Linked DNA regions of Stegostoma tigrinum. The protein of the gene in region 3 interacts with the protein of the main gene of each other region in a biochemical or structural test. Links are inferred from orthologs where the notes say so. Each region holds a gene or a part of one and is shown on either strand. Other genes may lie near its edges.

Region 1 (7,241 bases), on a different chromosome or scaffold from region 3:
AGGAATGATGGTTTTTGGGGCATGTAAGAAAAATGGAGGATAGAGGTCATATTCTGAAGATATGGAAATTTGCCCGAGCAGAAAAAGCTTACACTGGGGCAGTCCCAGGATGGAAAAAATGAACAGGGACTCAAGGTGGTTTATTGAATTGCCAAAAAAACTAGAAGGTCGGGGCCATTCTAGAGACAGAGCTGATTTATTTTGCAAGACTGGTCCTGTCTCAGCCAGTCTGTGTTTGCCCTGGCAAATATAAAGGAGACAGCATGCCAGCAGTGAATACAGTAGACGAAATTGAAAGAAGTACAAGTAAAATGCTGTTTCACCTGGAACATGGGTTTGGCACCTTGGACAATAAGGAAAGAGGATGGAAATGGGTAAATGGTACACCTTCTGTGTTTGCATGAGAAGATGCCACAGCAGGGTCTTAAGTGCAGGCTGGAGGGGGCAGCTGTTGTTTTGGAAGGGTGAGCATAGAGGAGTGGACCAGGGTGTCACATAGGGGATGGCATTGGGGGATGCTGATAGTAAAGAGAAGGGGGAGATAAGTTTGGTGCTGGTCTCTGGCTGGTAGAAATGGTGGAGAAGATCCTTTGAATGCAGAGACTGGTGGAGTGGAAAGTGAGGACAGTAATATCCAACACCATTTTCCCACCAATAACTTGCTAACTGATGCTCCATTTGGTTTAATCAGGACATTTTGGGGCCATACCTCATTATAGTTTTGATCCAAGATAGAAAATAAATTTGAATTCCAGGGCTTTGGGACTACTGTCCTCAATATCAGAGGAACACTTGAGAATGTGTGGCATTGAGGAATGCTCACAAAATTGAAGTAAATAGGAATCGTGGGCAAACTCACCATTCATATTTTGCCTTGTACAAAGGAAGATCGCTGTGGTTGTTGCAAACTAAACTTCTCAACCCCGGGATATCTCAGCAGGAATTCCTCTGGGCAGCGTCCTCAGCTCCACAATCTTCAGCTGCTCCATCATCGACCTTGTCATAATCATAAGCTTAGAACTGTGTGATGTTTGGTGACAAGCTCTCAGATACTGAAGTAGTCTTTGTCCATATGCAATAAGACTAGGAAAACATCTTAGCCTGGCAAGTGGCAAATAACTTTGATGCCACTCAAGTACTAGGCCGTAAAACCTTCCAAATATATCTATCTCTAACACACTGCCTGACCACTTTCCCTCTTTATTCAATGACATCACTATTATTGAATCCTCATTATTAGTGGTAGTGTATTACCATTGACCAGAAGCACAACATAGCACAAGTCAGAGGTCAGGAATTCTGGGTCAAGCAACTTACCCTCCCACCTCCAAAGCCTTTCGAATATTTTCACAGGGCCTTAATTTGATTGTTATGGAATACTCACCACATGCCTGGATGGATAAAATTCCAAAAACATTCAAGAGGCAGATGGGCCTATTTTAGTTCAGAACCATGGTCGGCATGAACTGATTAGACTGAAAGGTCTGTTTCCATGCTGTATGACTCTATGACATCTTGGAGAAAGCAACCTGTTTGGGTTGCTTCAACTCCCCTAAATATATACTCCATCCATGATTGACATAGCATGTTCCAAATACAAATTGCATTTCAACAACTCACCAAATGGCACTTCCCATGCCGTCAACTTCTACAACCTGTAATGACAAGGACAAGCGACACATGTAATTATCACCTGCAAATTCCCTTCAAGTTGTACACTTTGGCAGCAGCTATACTGAACACAGTGCAGAGATTCCCCCACCTTAGACTGACTTCAATTTTGCTATGGCTACTTAATGCAGCACTGAAACCAAATGTTCCCTTAATATAAAAGTAATCAGCCTCACTTCATCTCTGGAACTCAGCTCTTTTGTTCATGTCTGGTCCAAGGCTGTAATGAGATCTGGAACCAAGTGAACTGGTGGGAGCCAAACTGAGTTTCCATTAACAGGTTATTGGAAACGACAGTCATGGCTTTTCTTCCCACTCCTGCACAATTCCTTCTGGTGTTTTCCAAGCATCTATCCTTGCTGTCTACTTTTTTTATCCCCATGCTGCCCGTCAGCAACATCATCAGAAAACACTGCATCAGTTTTCACATGTGTGCTGAAGGCACACAATCCAACCTCATTAACACCTTTCTCAATTTTGCTAATGGTTCAGAGTAAACCAACAGTTCAGGATTTGGTTGTGTTAGATTTACTGCTTTTCTGTGGACAAAACATTCTGGGCAACTTTCCATAATGCCAAATAGATGCCAGTGTTCTAGATGTTCAGCACTGGAATGGCATGACTAAGGACAAAGCTATTTCTACCACAGATAACAAGGTGTGGAGCTGGATGAACACAGCAGGCCAAGCAGCATCTTAGAAGCAGGCAAGCTGACGTTTCGGGCCTAGACCCTTCATCAGAACCCGAAACGTCAGCTTTCCTGCTCCTCAGATGCTGCTTGACCTGTTGTGTTCCTCCAGCTCCACACCTTGTTATCTCGGATTCTCTAGCATCGGCAGTTCCTATTGTCTCTATTTCTACCACATAAGTCTTTGGTACTACTGCTGAAATTTTGTCACTGCAATTTTACCTTTCCTGTATTCAATGCCCTTTTTTTAATGAAAGCACAAAATAGGAACATCAGGAAAAGTTCAAGATGGATCTTCCACTTACTCTTGTGGCTGAAGATGGTTGTGAACAATTCAACATTGCTTTTTCACACTCACATAGCTTTAAATTGAGGGGTGAAAGATATAGGACAGATGTCAGAGGTAGTTTCTTTACTCAGAGAGTAGTAAGGGAATGGAACGCTCTACCTGCAACGGTAGTAGATTTGCCAACTTTAGGTACATTTAAGTCATCAAAGGATGAGCATATGGACGTACATGGAATAGTGTAGGTTAGATGGGCTTGAGATCAGTATGACAGGTCGGCACAACATCGAGGGCCGAAGGGCCTGTACTGTGCTGTAATGTTCTATGTTCTACATGCTTGACTGTCTCATACTGATGATGGGGATATTGTAGAGTTTTTTTTGTCATTTGATTGGTCAATGCCATTCATGACTATAATAAAACGGAAATGCTGCTTATGTTGTAAATGGAAATTAAAGAAAACGAGTTGTTGGGAAAAATGAACAAGGCTGGCAACATCTGTGAAGAAGAAAACAAAATTAACATTTTGAACCATTGATTCTTCTTTGGAAATAATCAGGTATGTTCATACCTGTATGTGACAGAACTACAGGGCTTTGAACTGGTTCCTTATAAATAGGGTGCTTGACACTATTTCTTGAATGTTGCCTCCTCTGTTTCACATTCATGTAGTTCTGTATTGCAGCTTGGATGAGTTGACATCTCCCTTTCAGATATGATTGGTGCTGCATCAGGCAAAATCTTTTCATTGACTAAATTTGGTCCCCCAATTTGATGGTAATGGTGAAGTGTGATATGCCAGGCCATGAAGATACAATTATGGTTGGATGCAATTTTGCTGTTGACAATGGTTCACAGTGCCATGTTGTGTGCTGTAGATCTGCTCTGCATCTATTCCATTCAGCATGGTGGTGGAGATACACAACTGAGTGGAGATATATCCTCAATGTGAAGATGGGACATTGTCACTACAATGACTGTGTGGTGGTCACTCTGACCAATAGCATCATAGACAGAACTTCCCATGACATAAATAACAAGTACATCTTTGATGTATAACAAAAATGTTTGTCTTGTGTTACTCAGGGTTCTGCTGATTTTCTATAAAGTGGGATGGACAGGTGAAGGTGTGGACAGGTATTTGTTTTCCTCTTGTTGGCTCCCTAACCACCTAGTCTAAATCCAATCTGGTTTATATCTACTTAAGGACTGAGTCAGTTTGGCTAATGTTGTTGTTAGAATTCTTGCACCCAAAGTACGTTTGTGGCCCTACTACCTTCAGCATGTCTTTCATCTGACATTCAACGTTGTGGGGAGAGGGGATTGCATGGGTGCTGACTGTAATCAACAGGAAGTCTTCTTGTCTGTATCTCATGGAGATCGAAATGTATTTCGACAACTCGCAGGCCCACACTTTCTTGACCCCATACCATGGTGCCATCACTCCTGCTGGCGCCTAGAGCACTGGATGGTACGGTTCCGTGAGTTTCGCTATAATAGTTAGTTGCTCGGCTAGTCTGTGGGACAGCTCTTCAATGTTTCGACCTATATGCCCGCATACATGTCTGTCTGACTGCAACGAAATCTATCTCTGCATAATACAGACACCAAGCATTGTGCACCGCTGGAAGAAACGACTGTATAGAAATAGATTGTCTCTATTTTTAGCTGTCAGTGCGGATTTAATTCATCCTCATCGCTGGCGAAACGTGGCTGTGTCTTTAAGAGAAGCTGACGTCAGGTTGGGTCCGGATATCCTGGTTTTGCCGATAGTAATTTAATCCTGGAGTGAGATGAGAAGGAGCCGCGAAGGAGGCGAGAATAACCCTGTTTGCAAATAAGCGGCCGAACAGGACCGCTTCCTTTTTCTGCAGGAACCATGTCTGTGGCGGGACTGAAGAAACAATTCCACAAGGCTACTCAGGTAGGGAGATAGCTGCTGCAGCTCCGACACTCTCTGCCCCACTGCACCAAAGCGGTTTGAGCTTCAGTCCAAGCTTCGTCCCTGTCGTGCCTCTGTATTCTTAACCACCTTCCCGTTTTACAAGAAGTAATGATAGAATCCCCGTCTCGCTTCATGTCCCAAACCCTCCGGGGCTACACAACGCCGATTAATGAAGCAATGTCATTGTGTAGGTCGGGTCAGGCAGGATTCCTGTGGCGAAATCTGGGAACTTTGATGTTTCAGTGAGTGTGGGGCTCGCTGTGGGTTGATTTGCCAATGAGGTCTCGACAGAGGCGTTTCATTTTAGGGGAGAAGGGGTGGTGGTGGGAGAGAAGGGTTTTGAGCCTCCGTTTTCCCCGGGATGTTTGCGGGATCGCTGCGGAAATCATTTATTATTTAGTCCCCGGAGTGAGCCGCGTCGCAGCTTCTTTCTGGGTCTGTTGGAAGAGTGGCTTTCCAATGCCCTCAGTCGGCTCCAGGTCGCTATTGCGGAAATCCAGTCCTTGCTGCTGTCCCCCACCCCCCACGAGCAGTCTCCTGATCTTGGAATCAAGGAGGAGAAATGTCCTCTGAACAAGACCAATTTGCTGCTGCTGGTTAGATCGGCTCGCACCTCATTATAATGTTGATTTTTATATGATCTCAACACGTAAAACACCGCGGAAATAATTAATTTGATCCTGCCGCTGTCAATTGTGTATTGAGCATCCCAGCCATCAACAATTCTGTTTTGAGTTTCACCGCGCCTGCAATATTCTCTCTCTCTCTGTGTGTCTTTATTTTGAAATAACAGCCTCTTTCATCAAACGTCACGATCTTCGCCTCAGCTACTTTGGGAGAAATGTTCATTCCTCTGTCAGCTGGGCTGACCATTTTAAAGATTTTTCCCCTGTTCCCGGCTCTCCTGCATACTTACAGCTAATCCTCAGCTTGGAAGTTGAGGCGCCTGTTTACTGTCACTGACTCTGACTCTCTGGGTTTGAGACTTGGGGGACACTGGCACCGAAGCACATGGCAGATGCCTGCTGGCGGGTAGTTTGAAGAAAGGTGGGGGGGGGGGAGTGGGGAGCGAATCGGGGGAGATTGAGGAAAGATGCTGCAAGCATTTCAGTAGGTCACGAGTATATTAAGGATGGGACCGGTCCTGGGCACAACTGAATTACACATCCTGAAAGATGCATCGCTGCTGCTTCTCGATTTGAATTATTTCTTCCCATTGTCCTGCTATTCTCACCACCCCCCCCCCCCCCCCGCCCCCGCTCCTTCCCTCCCTCTTCGCAGCCATCAAAATTTCCATTTACTCTGTCGGACTTCAGCTTGCAATTTAACGTTAATATTTGCAATTATCCTGACAATCTTGGCACCACTTCTAAAGCATTTCCGTTCCAGGCTGGAATTCAAGTTCTGGTCCAGCATTTTGACTTCACTCCGGGCCTGATTCCAGGCACTGAACGTACGGCTTTTCTGTGCACTGGATGTAAATGGGTGACCAGAATTGGAATGCTGTGTTCGATATGCAGCATAACTAGAGCACTCTGCAGCTGCATTGAGACTCTGGGACGACTTACTGTCATATACAGCTAGTTTTGTAGAGTGCCCTGTTTCTGTTGAACGTGTCGTTGAGATGAGGGCGTTTTTTTAAACTCCAGAGATAACAATGTGGAGCTGGAGAAACACAGCATGTCAGGCAGCATCCGAGGAGCAGGAAAGTTGACATTTTGGGTTGGGACTTTTCTTCAGAAACGGATAGGGGGAAGGGAGCTCCGAAATAAATATAGAGAGGAGGGGTGGGGCTGGGGAAGGTAGGTGGAATGGGTGATAGGTGAGTGCAGGTAGGCAGTGGTGGGGCTTGGTCAGTGAGGTGGGCGGGGCAAGTAGGTGGGAGTGAAGATGGACAAGTTGTCAAGTCAAGGAGTTTGTATTAGGTCTGAAGAAGGGTCACCGGATCCCAAACATTAACTTTTTTTTTCCTTCACAGATGCTCCCAGACCTGCTGAGCTTTTCCAGCAACTTTGATTTTGTGTCAGGTCAAGGGGGCTGGGATGAGAGGGAGGGTTGGTCATGGGATGAGGCTGGGAGTGGGGAGATTTTGAAACTGGTAAAGCCCACATTTAGACCATTGGCCTGTAGGCTCCCAATCCGTTTCACACTATCTGTTGCCCCAGCACCATTCAGGGTGATCAGTCCTTGTTTGCACAATTTTCAATTGCCTGTATTAAATCTCATCTCCCATCTGGTCCAAATTTTCTCTGATTTCTGACTTGTCTTTTACAATTCCACCTCTCCTCCTAGCATGTGCTCATATGTGACATTGACTGCTATTTCCATGTTTCCAAAACCAGTGTCATTAATGTCAACGAGAAACAATACTGAATCCCCAGAGTCCCCACTGAGCACTCACTTCTATTCATATTCCATTTTGATTACTACCCTTGTGCTTTCTCCCCGAGTCTCTGCGGGTTTCCTCTGGGTGCTGTGGTTTCCTCCCACCATCCAAAGATGGACAGGTTAGGTGGCTTGGCCATGCTAAATTGCCCATAGTGCCCAGGGATGTGTAGGTTTACGGGCATAGGGTAGGGTGTGGGTCTTTGAAGGGTCACTGTGGACTGAATGGCTGCTTCCACACTGTAGGGATTCTAAGTTAGAATTCC
Region 2 (8,017 bases), on a different chromosome or scaffold from region 3:
TAGTGTTCTCCTATTCGTCAGTCGTGTTATACCTACTTTGCACTGCTGGAACATGCATTATAACTGAACCACATGCACAGTGGAGAAGGTGCTGAAAGTCTTAAATGCATAAACTTGGATAAATCCCCCACACCTGATCAGATGTACCCTAGAACTCTGTAGGGAGTGAGGGAAGAAATTGCTGAGCCCCTTGCTGAGATATTTGCATCATCGATAGCCACAGGTGAGGAGCTGGAAGACTGGAGGTCGATTAAAATGATGCCACTATTTAAGAGAGGTGGTAAGGAAAAGCCACGGAACTATACACCAGTGGGACTGAAGTCGGTGGTAGGCAAGTTGTTGGAAGCAATCCTGAGGGATAGAATTATGTATTTGGAAAGGCAGGGACTGATTAGGGATAGTCAATGTGGCTGTGTGTGTGGGAAATCGTGTGTCACTAACTTGATTGAGTTTTTTGAAGAAGTAATGAAGAGGATTGATGAGGGCAGAGTGATGGACGTGATCCATATGGACTTCAGTTAAGTGTTCGACAAGGTTCCCCATGGTGGGCTGGTTAGCAAGGTTAGATCACATGGAATACAGAGAGAATGAGCCATTTAGATAAGAACAGGCTCAAAGGTAGAATACACAGGATGATGGTGGAGGTTGGTTTTCAGACTGGAGGCCTGTGACCAGAATGTGCCACAAGTCTTGGTGTAGGGCACTGCCTTTGTCATTTATATAAATGATTTGGATGTGATCATAGGAGTAAGTTTGCAGGTGACACTAAAATTGGAGATGTAGCAGACAGCAAAGATGATCACCTCAGAATACAAATGGGCCAATGGGTTGAGTACTAGCAGATAGAGTTTAATTCAGACAAAATGTGAGATGTTGCATTTTGGAAAGGCAAATCAGGGCAGGATTTATACACTAAATTGACAGGTCCTGGGGAGTGTTACTGAACAAAGAGACCTTGGAGTGCAGGTTTATAGTTCCTTGAAAGTTGAGCCACTGATAAGAAGCGTGTGGTATGCTTGCCTTTACTGATTAGTGCATTGAGTCATGTTGCAGCTGTACATTGGGACATTGGTTTGACCACTTTTGGAGTATTCTGTGCAATTCTAGTCTCCCCCTCTACGAAGAACTTTGTGAAACTAGAAAGGGTTCAGAAAAGATTTACAAAGATGCAGTCAGGGTTAGGGAATTTGAGCTATAGAGAGAGTTTGAACAAGCTGGGGCCATTTTCCTGAGCATCGGAGGCTGAGGGGTGACCTAATAGATGGTTATAAAATCATGAGGGGCATGGGTGCGGTAAATAGACATGGGTTTTTCCTTGGGGTGAGGGAGTCCAAAACAAGAGGGTATAGGTTTAAGGTGAGAAGGGAAGGATATAAAAAGAACCCAAGCGGCAACATTTTCATGCAGAGATTGTGCGTGCATGGAACGAGTTGCTAGACAAACTGCTGGACGCTGGTACAATTACATTTCATATATCCATCCAGATATCTTTTAAAAGGAAAGCTGTAGAAGGATATGGGACAAATGCTGGCAAATGGGACTAGATTTGCATAGGACATCTGGTTGGATGGACAAGTTGGACCAAAGAGTCTGTTTCCATGCTGTGTATCTCTATGACTCTATGTTCTATTTGATGATGAGTTCAGTGAAACTGACCACAAGACAATCTTGATGCTATCCTAACCAAGCATCCACTTTGTTATTTTTCGACAAACATTACCAGCAACAATTCTGATTTCACATGTGACAGAAATAATGAAATCAATTATATATTCTAAAACAAAACAAAGAAATGCTGACGCTGAAGATCTGAAACAAAAACAGAAATTGCTGAAGAAACTCAGCAGCTCTGAAGGATCACGGGACTCGGAATGTTAACTCTGCTTTCTCTCTGCTGATGCTGTCAGAACGGCTGATTTTTTTTCCAGCAATTTCTGTTTTTGTTACTTCAAATGCTGCTCAGACTAAAGTTGGGAGCTAAACTTCAACTGGACATCAATAAGATGTGCGTTTTATTTTCCCTACCTGTCAATTTTCTGAGGGTTAGAGTTAACTGTTAAAATATGCCAGTGAGCTTCGGCACGTTGTGAAATTGCATGTATTTTAACTGTAGACGTCCGGACAACTAACAAACAACTTGAATATTTGTGGGAATTAACGCTACCGTCTCCCTAAAACCCTAAATATTAACGCTGTCAAAAACTTCATGAATCTGCGTCTAGAGGAACATTACTTAACCTAAGTCCAAGATTAAAGAGTTTGGGGGAAAAAAAAGAGATTCAGCAATAAACGAGGCTTGAAGTTAGTCTCGCATTTTTAAACCAACAAACGGATTCAAGTTGTCGACGCTAAAAAATAGACCTTCGGATCTGACAGCCCAATACGTATGGAGAAGAGATTGCACAACTAGTCTCTCTTTCATTTATACGAATCCACTTATTTGTTTTAAAAATCGAAAATGAAGCGTTCCTGTTTGCCATTCCTTTTGTACGAGGGAAAAAAAAAGTTGGATTCAAACGGAAATTGCTGGCCAATTGAAATCAAGCTCGAACTCCAATTTCACAGCGACAAAAAAAACTGATTTTTTTTTCTTTTAACAATTACATAAATGTAAACAAGGAAAGTTGGATTATTTTTATAGCCGCCACACAGACCTTGAAAACATGTGAACCATGCTGCAGCAGTAAGTTAGAGCGAGTGTGCCTATTGGCAGCGAGGGTTGTATGACACTGGCATCAGCCGGGGTGAGAGCTCATTCCTTCACATTGAGAGACCCCCCCCCCAGACTCCAGATCCCGGCCCAGCCTCCTTACCTGGCTCGCTTTGTAAAACTGCTTCTTCAACCCGGCCACCGACATCCTCGCACACTTTTAACCGACCACAACTTTTAAAAAAGCTCGATTACGTGGCCGTTTTCAATTGTTATTCTCTATGTTCAACCCCCGCCTCTCTCTTTCTCCCCCTCACAGACTCTTGTCAGAAATCCTACATGGCAACCGCAGCTACTTCCGGCAGCGCGACAAGGAGCGCCACCCGCCGGCGAAAAGTTAAACAGCGGACTTTGTCCTCCACACACAGCGCCGCCATCAGCTGCACTGCAGCCATTCAGCCGTCACACGGTCTTCCAAATACAGCGCTCCCCACAGCAGCGCGCCAGACTCAGCCGTTAGACGGTCCTCCGAACACACCGCCTCCCTCAGCCGCACTCCAGCTATTCAGCCTGTGCCCGTTCTTTCAACCCTGACCTCCTCAGCAGGAGTTATTCAGACTGTAGGCGTAGCGCCACCTATCGTTCTGGAGGATTGAAGTCACATGTTGTGTGGTTTGTATGGATATACTTCTACACGAAGAAAATTGTCTTAATGGGGTTTGTGGTTTTTCTTGGAAAACGAAGCCTAAATCTCTAGAACGGTATTGTGTGAACGTTAGTTTTATTTTTGAAGAACTCCACGGAGAAAGGCCTTGATCAGGGAGAAATAGTTCCTACAAGCTGGAATCGAGGTGAAGAATTGAGGTGAGTCAAGACCTTTAAGGTGAAGGGGGATCAACTCCAAGTATGTTTAAATGTGGATGTTGCACATGTAAAAAGTGAAAAGTTTAAACACTTTTAAATTTTAAGGGGAATTACTCTTCAGCCAATGTAAGAGACCACATCTTTAATTTTCGAAATTGGGAATTTGCTTCACTTCTCTTGAGCCAGTGAAAAAAGTTTTGTTTTCTCTCTGTCTTGGAAAATTGAAACGTGAGTCAACAAGTGCCACATGAAAAACACTCAGGAAAAGGGTTGCCTGGGGCAGAAAACATTTTTTGAACCTCCATTCCATCACAGTACAAACTGCTGTTCTGGCTCTCCTTCTGCCAACTGAATGGTGCACTCCTCACCCTCAACAACTTCTCTTTCAATTCCTCCCCATTGCTACAGACAAAGGGGGTGGCCATGGGTACCTGCATGGGCCCAAGCTGTGCCTGCCTCTTTGTAGGTTCTGTGGAACAATCTCTCTTCCGTAGCTACACTGGCCCCACCTCTTCCTCCATTACATTGATGACTGTATCGGCGCCACCTCATACTCCCAGGAGGAGCTCAAACAGTTCATCCACTTCACCAACACTTTCCACACCAACCTTAAGTTCACCTGGACCATCTCTGACCTGTCTGTCCTTCCTGGACCTCTATGTTTCCATCTGTGGAAACCAATATCCATTTCAAGCCCACCACAGCTACCTAGAATACACCTCCTCCCTCCCACCTTCCTGTAAAACTGCTATCCCCTATTCCCAATTCCTTCACTTCCACCACATTGCTCCTAGGAATAGGCATTCCACTGCCATACATCTCAGATGTCCTCGTTTCTCAAGGACCACAACATCCCCCCCAACCCCCCCCCAGTGATCGAGAACTCCCTCGACCATGTCTCCCGCAACTCATCCCTTGCATCCCTCCCCGCAATAACAACCAAAACAAAATCCTCCTCACCCTCACGTACCACCGCACCAACCTCCAGATCCAACGCATCATCCTCCAACACTTCCACCATCTGCAATCCAACCCCACCACTAAAGGCATTTTTCCCTGCCCACCCTTATCTGCTTTCCGGAGGGACCACTCTCTCCATGACTCCCTTGTCAGCACCACACTCCCCTCCAGCCCCACTACCCCCAGCACTTTTCCCTGCAACCGCAGGAAGTGCTGCCCCTACATCTCCCCCCTCACCCCCATCCCAGGCCCCAAGAAGACTTTCCACATCAAACAGATGTTCACCTGTACATCTGCTAATGTGCTGTACTGTATCCACTGCTCCCGTTGTGGCTCCTCTACATCGGGGAAACCAAGCGGAGGCTTCGGGACCGCTTTGCAGAACACCTCCGCTCGGTTCACAGTAAACAACTGCACCTCCCAGTCGCGAACCATTTCAACTCCTGTTCTCATTCCTCAGACAGCATGTCCATCCTGAGCTTCCTGCAATGCCACAACGATGTTACTCGAAGGTTGCAGGAAGAGCACCTCATATTCCATTTAGGAACCCTGCAGCCCAATGGTATCAATGTCGACTTCAGAAGCTTCAAAATCTCCCCTCCCCCTACCACATCCTAAAACCAGCCCAGCTCGTCCCTACCTCCCTAACCTGTCCTTCCTCCCACCTGTCCCCTACTCTGACCTACTAGCCACATCCCACCCCCTTGACCTGTCCGTCCTCCCTGGACTGACCTAACTCCCCACCTCCACTCACCTTTACTGGCTCCATCCCTGCCTCTTTGACCTGTCTGTCTCCTCTCCACCTATCTTCTCCTCTAACCATCTTCCATCTGCCTCCCCCCCTCTCCCTATTTATTTCAGAACTCCCTTCCCCTCCCCCATTTCTGAAGAAGGGTCTAAGGCCTGAAACATCAGCTTTCCTGGTCCTGTGATGCTGCTTGGCCTGCTGTGTTCATCCAACTCTACACCTTGGTATCCCAGGATAACTCCCTGGCTGTTTTTTCACTCTTTTCTTTTTTAACACTATTTTCCTGCTGCTCAGCGACTGTTTTTTGAGACCCCTTCCCTCCTCATTGAAATGAATCCTGATGTCAGACATCTTTATGTTGAGAACAACAAGATTCCAAAGAAAGTAGGAACTGCTGATGCTGGAGAATCTGAGGTAACAAGGTGTAGAGCTGGATCAACACAGCAGGCAAGGCAGCATCAGAGGCGCAGAAAAGCTCCCTGATTTGGAAAGATTCCACATCTCTGCTACTTTCTGTGTCTAAATTTTGGAGCTGAGGGGGACAATGTCAATAGTCCACTAAATTTTAAGGTGCCATTTATTATATGTGAGTCCTGACTTCTCTTTATAAATGCAATTTCCAACTGTTGCACTTAAATTAGAGCAATGAGGTTAATTTTGAATAATTACTCTGTACATTGAACTAACCCAACTTAGGTAAGAGTTAAATATGTGTCCTTACAAATTAGTATGGCTCATTTCCCATTTGTTCAATTTTCCCAAGCACATGGGAAGTTATGAAATTATTTAAAATTATGAAATATCAGTCAGTCATTAGAATAGGCACTTTTCAGTGTTTGTTACATCTGGAGCAAGCGAGTAAGCTTAAATACAAAATGTTCAGGTCAAAGAACCAGTCTAAGGATACATGGTAGACCATTTAGAGCAGAGTTGAGGAAAAATGTCTTTACTCATAGAATGGTGAGCCTGGGGAGTTCTCTGCCCCAAAAAAAACAGGCCAAAATCTTGAATGTTTTCAGGACGCTGTTAGATACAGGGATTAAAGGGAATGGGAATAAAATGGGAACAGGGTACTGAGTTGAATCATCAGCCATGATCATATTGAATGGCAGAGCAGATTCGAAGGGCTGAATAGCCTACTCTTGCTGCTGTTTTCGATGCATCTAAAGAGGAATTTTTTTTGCATATCATCATGAGCTCGTGGATTGTACTACCAGACCTAGTGACAAAAACAAGTAACAAAATCAATGTTTAAGAATAGATTAATGGGTAAATGAAGAAAAGGGGAATAAGGAAATCTGAGAAAAAGGTGGGCTCTTGAAACATTTACTCATGCTGAAGATAATGCCATTACAGATTGGATATGCCAAAAAGCATACTTTCATCTTGGAATTTTCCATGTAGTCTACTAAAGATTGGTTAATATTGAAATTGGGATAATAAACACTGAGAAGATTGAATCAATTGTCTGAGCTCACGTTCCAAACTGTTGACACTGTCAGCTTCCCAGGCAATTATCTCTAACTAAAACAGACTGTTAGCAACTTCAGTGTCATATCTTACCCCAAGATGAGCTTCCAACCTCTCATCTGTACCACGATTTAGACAGCACACTTCCACCTCCATTAAATCACTTGACTTAATCACTGCCTCAGTGCATCTGCTGCTGAGACATTCATCAATGCCATTATGATCTCTGGATTTGACTATTCAAGAGACATCCTGGTTGACCTCCACCAATGTAGCCCGGGTAAATTCAAAGTCAGCCAAAACTCTCATACCCAGGTCTCAAGGTCCAAAATTTCATTTCCCTTTGTTTGTTGACCCATACTGGCTCCTGATCGAGCAATTTAAAATTCTTATCCTTGTTTGCAAATCCCTCAGTGGCTTTGCCCTCCATATGCATACAATCTCCTGCAGCCCCAGAACCTGCCAAAATCCCTACAATCATTCAGTTGTGGGCTGCAGATCATCCCAATTTAAGTTGTTCCACTCTTGGCGACTGCATCTTCAGCTGCCAAGGGCCTTAACTCTGGAATTTCTTCCCAAAAGCTTCTCTCTGGCTAAGCTTTTGACAATCTGTTTTATTATAACTGTATTATGGCTCAGTGTCAAATTTTGCTTTATTATGGTTCCATAACGTGCTTTTGAATATTTTCTTACATGAAAAGTACTGTTAATTTTTCTGTTGGTGAGTGTGCACAGATATATTCTATCTCCATGGTGCTATTTTTAGTCGTTGCAATTCAAAATGTACAATCTGCTCAGGGAAAATCAGCTTGTACAGTTTGTTCATTATCTGCTACATTCCCAAATTCTCCTGATGAACAATTAGTGAAGATTGATTCTTCTCAATTTTAGGGATATTTCCCTTTTTAAATTCAAAGATTATGTCTGCGGTATTTACATTCATTGCCATGTCAGGATACATGTTGTCAAGCCTTGATAAGAACATATTATTAAGATGAATGCATTACAGATAAGAACCACTATGTCATTTGCATCATGTATCATGTTACTACAATTAGAATTTAAAAAGATTGATTCTTCATGTTGTCTTGCAGGTGCTCTATTTTGATTAAAGGCAAGAATATTTTTCAGCACACAATTGATTTGCATTGTGTAAAACAATTTCAGTGCTAAAATAACAATAATATTTAGTGATCTTCAGTAATATTTACTTATGTTGCATTGTGTTTATACCTGCCATTGAAGTCCGTGAAAGTGGTGTCTGGTAACTAAATAATTTGGATATCATTTAACTGAATTGCACCCTGTTTATTTCCAGACAATGT
Region 3 (7,906 bases):
CACACACACAGTCTAACACCCACACATAGTCTAACAGCCACACACAGTCTAACAGCCACATACAGTCTAACACCCACATACAGTCTAACACCCACACGGTCTAACACCCACACACACAGTCTAACACCCACATACAGTCTAACACCCACACGGTCTAACAGCCACACACACAGTCTAACACCCACATACAGTCGAACACCCACACGGTCTAACACCCACACACACAGTCTAACACCCACACACACAGTCTAACATCCACACGCAGTCTAACACACACACGCAGTCTAACACACACACATAGTCTAACACCAACACACCCAGTCTAACACCAACACACCCAGTCTAACACCAACACACATAGTCTAACACCCACACACACAGTCTAACACACACACAGTCTAACATGCACACACACAGTCTAACACTCACACAGTCTAACACTCACACAGAGTGTAACACCCACAGTCATACAGACACACAAAGCGTGTCACCTACAGTCACTCGCACACTGTCTAACACCCACACACGGTCTAACACCCACACACGGTCTAACAGCCATACACAGTCTGACACGCACACACAGTCTAATGCCCACACACAGTCTACCACTTACGCAGACTGTAACACCAACACACAGTGTAACACCCACAGTCATACAGACACACAAAGTGTCTCACCTACAGTCACTCACAGTCTAACACCCACACTCAAGGTGTAACACTCAAACATATGCACACACTCGTAACTCCCATAAAGTCTAAGGCCCACAGTCATAGACGGTTTAATACCTCCTGACACTCAGACACGCACACACACAAAGTGTAACACCCACAGTCACTCATTACACACAGTATAACACACCCACAGTCACTCATTACACACAGTGTAACACCCACAGTCACTCATTACACACAATATAACACACCCACAGTCACTCATTACACACAATGTAACACACCCACACTCATCAAACATGCAGCAAGTGATGGACACACAATGACTGTCACCGCAACAGTGATACAAGCACACAGTGTCAAAATACGTCACTAACACAGGCAGTCACAGTCACAGTCACAGAGGCATACAGTGACAGAATAACAGTCACACAAATGACACAGGTACAGTGACAGAATAAGTCAGACAATAACAGACAATGACACAGTCGGTGACAAAATAACAGTCACACAGTAACGCAGTGACATAATAGCATGCAGTGACAGTCACGTGCAATGACAAAACAACAGTGACAGGCACAGTGACAAAATAACAGTCACACACACTAACACAGGCAGTGACAGGTGAACACTGAGAAATACCTCAGTGACAGGCACAGTCGGTCACAGGTACATACAATGTAACAGCCGTGGACACAGTAACACTGTGTCCCTGTGTAGCACTCTGTAACACGGCGCTATGGCGGACTCACCGCCGCATGCGGTGAAATTTGTTGTTTTGTGCGAACGCTGCCGGGGCTCCACCTGGAATTCGCTGAAATGCTGGGAGACAGTGCCGCTGGGGCTAAGGTCAATGAATGAGGTGGACGCAGCGAAACCCGGTTTGGGGAAAAGCAGCCTCATGAAACCTACCGATTTCATACATAGGTCTCCTTTAAATACTGTTAACTGCGCAGGTTGGGCTGTGTGTGTGTGCGGGGGAGAAATGGAATAGAAACAAGATTTGGACCTTCCGATATTTTAAAACAGACATTGCAAAGGGGCAGAGACAGGCGTAAGGTTAAATCTGCTGAATTGATGTCAGTGATCTCGTCCTGCCTTTCCACATAATTCTCAGCCGATTTAGACCCGCTGTTTATCTAGTGACATGCAGCAAAGATTAGGGCAGGAATCCGGCTCTGAATGCAGCGGGTCTGGTGTTTTGTTTAATAAATAACAGATAACATTAAAACCTCCTTGCCTCTCTGGATTTGCTGTCTTGGCGTTTCGTTTTGGGTGGGCGGGGGGACGGTAAATCAACAACAAATCCAACGCCACTGGCACAGTTATAAATTATGGTCATTCAAGTAAAAATACATCTTATAACGGGAAAAGAAGACAGAAATAAATTGCGTGCATCGACTCACTTTCCGACGAAATTTTCCAGCACAGAGCTCTTGCCGGCGCTCTGTCCCCCCACTACCCCGATCTGGGGCAAGTCCAGATTGGCATTCTGTCCGATCTGAGCGAAAGCATCCTGCATCCGATTGACCAGGGGGATCAGTTCTTCCATCCCGCGGTTGCCCATGTTTGCTGAATGGCGATGAGCTGGGACCAGCCGCTACTATTACTGGATCTGAATGTGGGATAAAGAGCTGGGAGCCTAGTCTATAATATGCAAAAAGCTCCACATGGAGCAGCAAACCTCAGGCTGCAGGAGGGGAATTGCATTCGCAGGTTAAATGCTGTTTCTGCGCTCTTCCCCTTGCACCCAAAGCCGCACACTCTCAATTGGCTCCGCTCTATCGCACCGCTCTGCCTGCGCTATACAGCCAGCGATTTAAAGGGAACAAGAGGCACCACCACTGCGCAGGCGCTGCCACGGCCGGCCTGTCGGGATCTGTAGTCCACGACCCGCGGCGCCACCTTGTGGACGGACGGTCCCGGACTCCACCTCCCAGGGTGCACCGCGCGCCCTCTCATTCTCGTCCTCTTGTCACCCACCAGCGCAAGGCTGGGCTCCTCTTGTTACCAATTGCAAAGGGTGGCAGCGAACCCCTGTCCGGGATTTTTTTGTTGCAATCCTCGCCTGGCGTCTTCCCCAAATCATTCAGATAAAAATAGGTTGGAATTAATTGCACAAGAAGAGTGGGGGCCCTTCTCCTGGCCATTGCTGCAGAGGCGCAAGGATTGCAATGCAGACTTGGAACATGCAGTCATTCCTCGCAGATTGCATTCTGCGTCTCACCGAAAACCACCAGAGCGTTGCATGTACCAATTTTTGGAAAATAGTTACATGTAGGGTAATAGGATCTTGGAGTGCGCTTGCGGTACCCCCGCTTCTAACCTAAAAGGCCTGGCTTCGAGTCGCACTTGCTCCTCAGTTGTATCATATTTGGGGTCTCTTGTGGCGCAGTGCTGGTGTCGCTTCTCGGGCCAGGCCACCTGGGTTGAAGTCCCACCTGCTCCTGCTGCAGAGGCACGTATTAATATTTCTTGAGCAGGATGGTTAGAAAATGTTAATTGCTATTAAAGGGGAATGGGAATCATTGAGGTATCTTTTTCACTTAGAAACAAAATACTGCGCATAAAGCGAAGAACTGCAGATGCTGAAAACCTGAAGCAAAAGCAGAAAGTGCTGGAGAAACTCTGCAGGTCTGGCAGCGTCTGTGGAGAGAAAACAGAGTCAGCATTTCAAGTCCAGCATGAATCTCCTTCAGAACAAAATCTTTTAGACATGAAACAGTAACTCTGTTCTTTTCTCCGCAGTCACTGTCGGACCTGCTGAGCTTCTGCAATGCTTTCCATTCCAATGCCTTCCATGATTCTTTTCAAACAAAATTGATTATGGGATTTGAAGCTGCTGTCATTTGTTGCGCAATGCTAATCGCTAAGGTTCTGGTAAGCTGCCTTCCCGAGCCATTCCAGTCCATGTAGATACATCCATAATACTGTTAGGGAAGGAGTACTGGCCATTTCCATAGGCTAGAACTCTCCCCCTACAGACAGAGTTTGCTAAAGATTTACTCACCTCACACGACTGCAGTGGTTCAAGAAGGCAGCTCACCTCCACCTTCTAAAGGGCAGTTAGGACTTAGTAATAAATGCTGGCCTAGTCCATGATTTTGAGAGTGACACAGAAGGAAAGGCAACATATTTCCAAGTCAGGATGGTGAAGTTTTGGAAGGGACTTTGCAGAGGTTGCTGTTCCCGTATATCTGCTGTCCTTTGTAGGTGGTAGAGGTCATAGATTTGGAAGATGGTATCAAAAGATCCTTGGTGAGTTTCTGCATTGTGATGGTACGCCGCGTTGCCAGCGTGTGTCAGTGGTGAAGGGAATGAATTTTGAAAGAGTTGGATGAGGAGCCCATCATGCAGGTTACTTCATCCTGGATGGGTTTCTTGTGTGTTCTTGGAGTTGCACTCATCTGGGCAAGTGGGGAGTATGTCATTACCCTCCTCATTTAGAGATTACACAGTGTAGAGCTGGAGGAACACAGCAGGCTAGGCAGCATCAGAGGAGCAGGAAAGCTGACGTTTCGGTTCGGGAGCCTTCTTCACAAATCATTTTTGATGAATGGTCCCAACCCAAAACTTCAACTTTCCTGCTTCTCTGATGCTGCCTGGCCTGCATTGTTCCTCCAGCTGCACGCTGTGTTACCTCTGACTCCAGCATTGGCAGTTCCTACTAACCCTCCTGATTTGGTTGTGTCTTATAGATGCTAAAGCCTGTGGAGTCAGGAAGTGAGTTACTTGCTGCAGGATTGTCAGCCTCTGACCTTCTGCTGTAGACGCAGTATTGCCTGGCTGGTCCAGTTCATCCATTTTAATGCCATTCAATGTCTAAAGAGATGGTTGCGGAGAATCTAACCTTTTTTTTGCTTGAAGATATTGATTGTCTGGTGCAAGTGTTACTTGGCACTTGTCAACACAAGCTGGAATGGTGTGAGGATATGCTAGGAAGAATAGAAGCATAGATTACTTTCTAAATGGGGAAAGGCTTCAGAAATCTCAAACACATTGAGACTTAGGAGTCCTTGCTCAGAATTCTCTTAAGGCTAACATGCAGCTTCTGTTGGCAGTTAGGAAGACAATTGCAATGTTAGCATTCATTTCAAGAGGCTAGAATACACTGCTGAAACTGTATAATGCTTTGGTCAGACCACATTTGGAATATTGTAAGCAGTTTTGCCTCTATACCTATGAAAGAATGTATTGTCCTTGGAGGGGGTCCAGAAGAGGTTCACAAGAATGATCCCAGGTATGAAGGCCTTGTCATATGAGGATCAGTTGAGGACTCTGGGTCTATACCATCTGGGCAAAAGATGAAGGGGGTATCTTGTTGAAATTTACAGAATGCAGACAGGTGTAGATAGAGTGGATATGGAGAAGATATTTCCACTGGTAGGAGTGACTCAGACTGAAATGAGGAGGAATTTCTTCAGCCAGAAGGTCATGAATCTGTGGAGAAATTCATTGTTGCAGAAGGCTGTGGAGGCCAAGCTATTGAGTGTATTTAAGACAGAGGTAGATAAGTTCTTGATTAATAAGAGGATCAAGGGTTTTGGGAGAGAAGGCAGGAGAATGGGCTGAGAAACTGATTGAATGGTGGAGCAGCCTCAATGGGCTGAATGGTGTAATTTTGCTGTTATTTTGGATGATCTTATGAAATTTATGTTCCAGCTTTTATTCTAGATAATTAAAGGCATATTTTCCCTGGAAGAACATTATTAAATTGGAGAGGGTTCAGAAAAGATTTACCAGGAATGCCAAGACTGGAAGTTTTGAGTTATAAGCCTAGGTTGGATATGTTGGGACTTTGTTCATTTGTGCATAAGAGGTTGCGAGGTGACCTGTTAGAGGTTTATAAAATCGTGAGAGGCAAAGATAAGGTGAATACAAACATCTTCTTCCTAGAGTGGGGGAGTTCCAAACTAGGGGGTATGTTTTAAGATGAGAGGAGAAAGATATAAAAGGGACCCCAGGGGCAATTTTTCACACAGATGGTGGTTTGGGGCGGCACGCTGACTCAGTGGTTAGCACGGCTGCCTCACAGCACCGCGGACCCAGATTTGATTCCACCCTCGGGTGACTGTGTGGAGTTTGCAAAGTCTCCCTGTGTCTGCGTGGGTTTCCTTCGGGGCCTCAGGTTTCCTCCCACAGGCCAAAGTTGTGCAGATTAGATGGACTGACCATGCTAAAATTGACCAGAGTGTCCAGGGATGTACAGTCGAGGTGGGTTAGCCGTAGGAAATGCAGGTTCACAGGAATAGGGTAGGGGTAGTAGAGGGTCAGTGTGGACTGAATGGGCTGCGTCCATGCTGTAGGGATTCTATGAATGAACTGCCAGAGTAAGGGGTAGATGCAGGCACAATTATAACATTTAAAGGACAGGTACATGAATAGGAAAGGTTTAGAGGGACATGGGCCAAACGCAGGTGACTGGGACTGGTTTAGTTTGAGAAACTTGGACAGCATGGACAAGTTGGGCTGAAGAGTCCATTGCTGTGCTGTATGACTCTATGATCAGGACCAGAGACCTCTTTACAGCAAAAGGTATGGCAAATGTTGCGATGTGGCACTTGTACTGTCTTTAATTAAACTGAATGAAAGGGTCTGGATCAGAAAACTGATTAGTGGGCTGTGTGTTTGGATGTCAGTGTGTGTCAAATCACTTGTACTGTGCTATCCATGTTACCAACATGTATCATTGTTGCAGGGCTCTTGTAGTTCAGCGGCATTGTCCCTGGGCCAGGTTAAGTCCTAACTGCTCCACAGGTGTCTAATAACATCTCAGAATAGGTTGATCAGAAAATGTTAATATTATTCCCTCATTGTCATTAGGCTAAAACCCTGGAACTTTCTACATTACAGAATACTCACCACAGACACTGCAAAAGGTTAGGAAGGCATATCAATTATCGATCGGTACCACTGAAACTGATAGCCATGTCATCAATTGTAGATTTATTCAGTATTTATGAATTGTACTTAATTTTCATAATCATGGTACAATAGAGGGACAGTCTCACTGTACATAATAAGGAGTAGCAAGGGGTTAAAAACTGAGGTGGGAGCAGATTTGGAGGTTCATCGTAGGTTCTACTCAATCAATAAAAACCAAAAGAACTGCAGGTGCTGCAAACCAGGAACAAAAACAGAAGTTGCTGGAAAAGCTCTTCAGGTCTGGTAGCATCTGTGAAGGAAAAAACAGAGTCAATGTTTCGGGTCCAGTGACCCTTCCTCAGAACATCAATACTCAATCAGTATTGACCACTCACATCACACTCGGGTAAACAGTCAGAGAATCAGCCACACGAAGAGAAGTCATTCAGTCCTTTGTGCCTGCACCAGATCATTGGAAAAAGTTCTCCAAATAGTTACAATTTCCTCTTTAAGCCCACAGGCCTGTACTTTCATCTTCCCTTCCAATACTGACTAAATTCCTTTTTGAAAGTTGTGGTTGAACCTGCTCTTTCAAGCCATGCCTTCCAGATTGTACCAACACACTGCATCAAGTAAACATTCACCCCATTCCGAAGAAGGGTCCCGACCCGAAACGTCAAGCTTTCCTGCTCGTCTGATGCTGCTTGGCCTGCTGTGTTCATCCAGCTCCACACCGTGTTATCTCGGATTCTCCAGCATCGGCAGTCCCTACTATCTCTGTAACATTCGCCCCTAGTTCCTTTGCCAGTCACCGTCAATCTGGACCCTGCAATTGCCAACCTTTCATCCACTGGACACAGATGCCCCTTGTTTACACTGTCTCAAAGTCAGTTCCTGTTGAGAACAGGGAAGGTGGGAGAAAGGATTGTGAGGCAACTTGGTTACAGTGCTGGATTTCCTTGGGCAACTTGATAGGAAAGCTGCCAAATCGGAAACATTACTCAAAGCAATGCATTTTGACCCTGCAACCCTGAGTGTTGCAGCTGGAAGAAAGTGCTGTCTTCAATTTCTGGTGAGTACTGAGACGGCACTCAGCTGAAGTGGAGCAGCCCAGAGAAGTCCGACCAGCGTCCAGTACCACTCCCTTACTTGTGGAATTAGCTTCCACCACCTGCTCAAGCCAAGCGTTTCAGACCCTGGCAATTATTCTGATCTAAAAGAAAATCCTCTCCAGTTCTTTGTCGATGGTGACCTCCTTTGACCAACTCCATCAACGTCTCCCATCACCTCAAAGGATGTTTGTTTGGTTAATGCTCTCTGCTCTGTGCTAACTTTCCTAAATCTTTCCTCAAGCTGACAAAACTCAC

Evidence for each region.
Region 1: the proteins of dynamin-1 (region 3) and endophilin-A1 form a complex in vitro, tested with the Homo sapiens proteins (2 studies listed by BioGRID and IntAct, with this or other methods). The link is inferred for Stegostoma tigrinum from reciprocal best matches to the Homo sapiens genes DNM1 and SH3GL2.
Region 2: the proteins of dynamin-1 (region 3) and endophilin-A2-like form a complex in vitro, tested with the Homo sapiens proteins (2 studies listed by BioGRID and IntAct, with this or other methods). The link is inferred for Stegostoma tigrinum from reciprocal best matches to the Homo sapiens genes DNM1 and SH3GL1.

What each region holds. Positions count from the first base shown.
Region 1 is NC_081356.1:23,525,819-23,533,059, reverse strand, and holds the start of endophilin-A1, read left to right. Parts: upstream 1-4,226; 5' UTR 4,227-4,524; coding exon 4,525-4,569; intron 4,570-7,241. UniProt on the Homo sapiens protein: Implicated in synaptic vesicle endocytosis. May recruit other proteins to membranes with high curvature. Required for BDNF-dependent dendrite outgrowth.
Region 2 is NC_081383.1:32,288,985-32,297,001, reverse strand, and holds the start of endophilin-A2-like, read right to left. Parts: upstream 3,016-8,017; 5' UTR 2,859-3,015; coding exon 2,814-2,858; intron 1-2,813. UniProt on the Homo sapiens protein: Implicated in endocytosis. May recruit other proteins to membranes with high curvature.
Region 3 is NC_081382.1:36,991,806-36,999,711, reverse strand, and holds the start of dynamin-1, read right to left. Parts: upstream 3,051-7,906; 5' UTR 2,242-3,050; coding exon 2,081-2,241; intron 1-2,080. UniProt on the Homo sapiens protein: Catalyzes the hydrolysis of GTP and utilizes this energy to mediate vesicle scission and participates in many forms of endocytosis, such as clathrin-mediated endocytosis or synaptic vesicle endocytosis as well as rapid endocytosis (RE).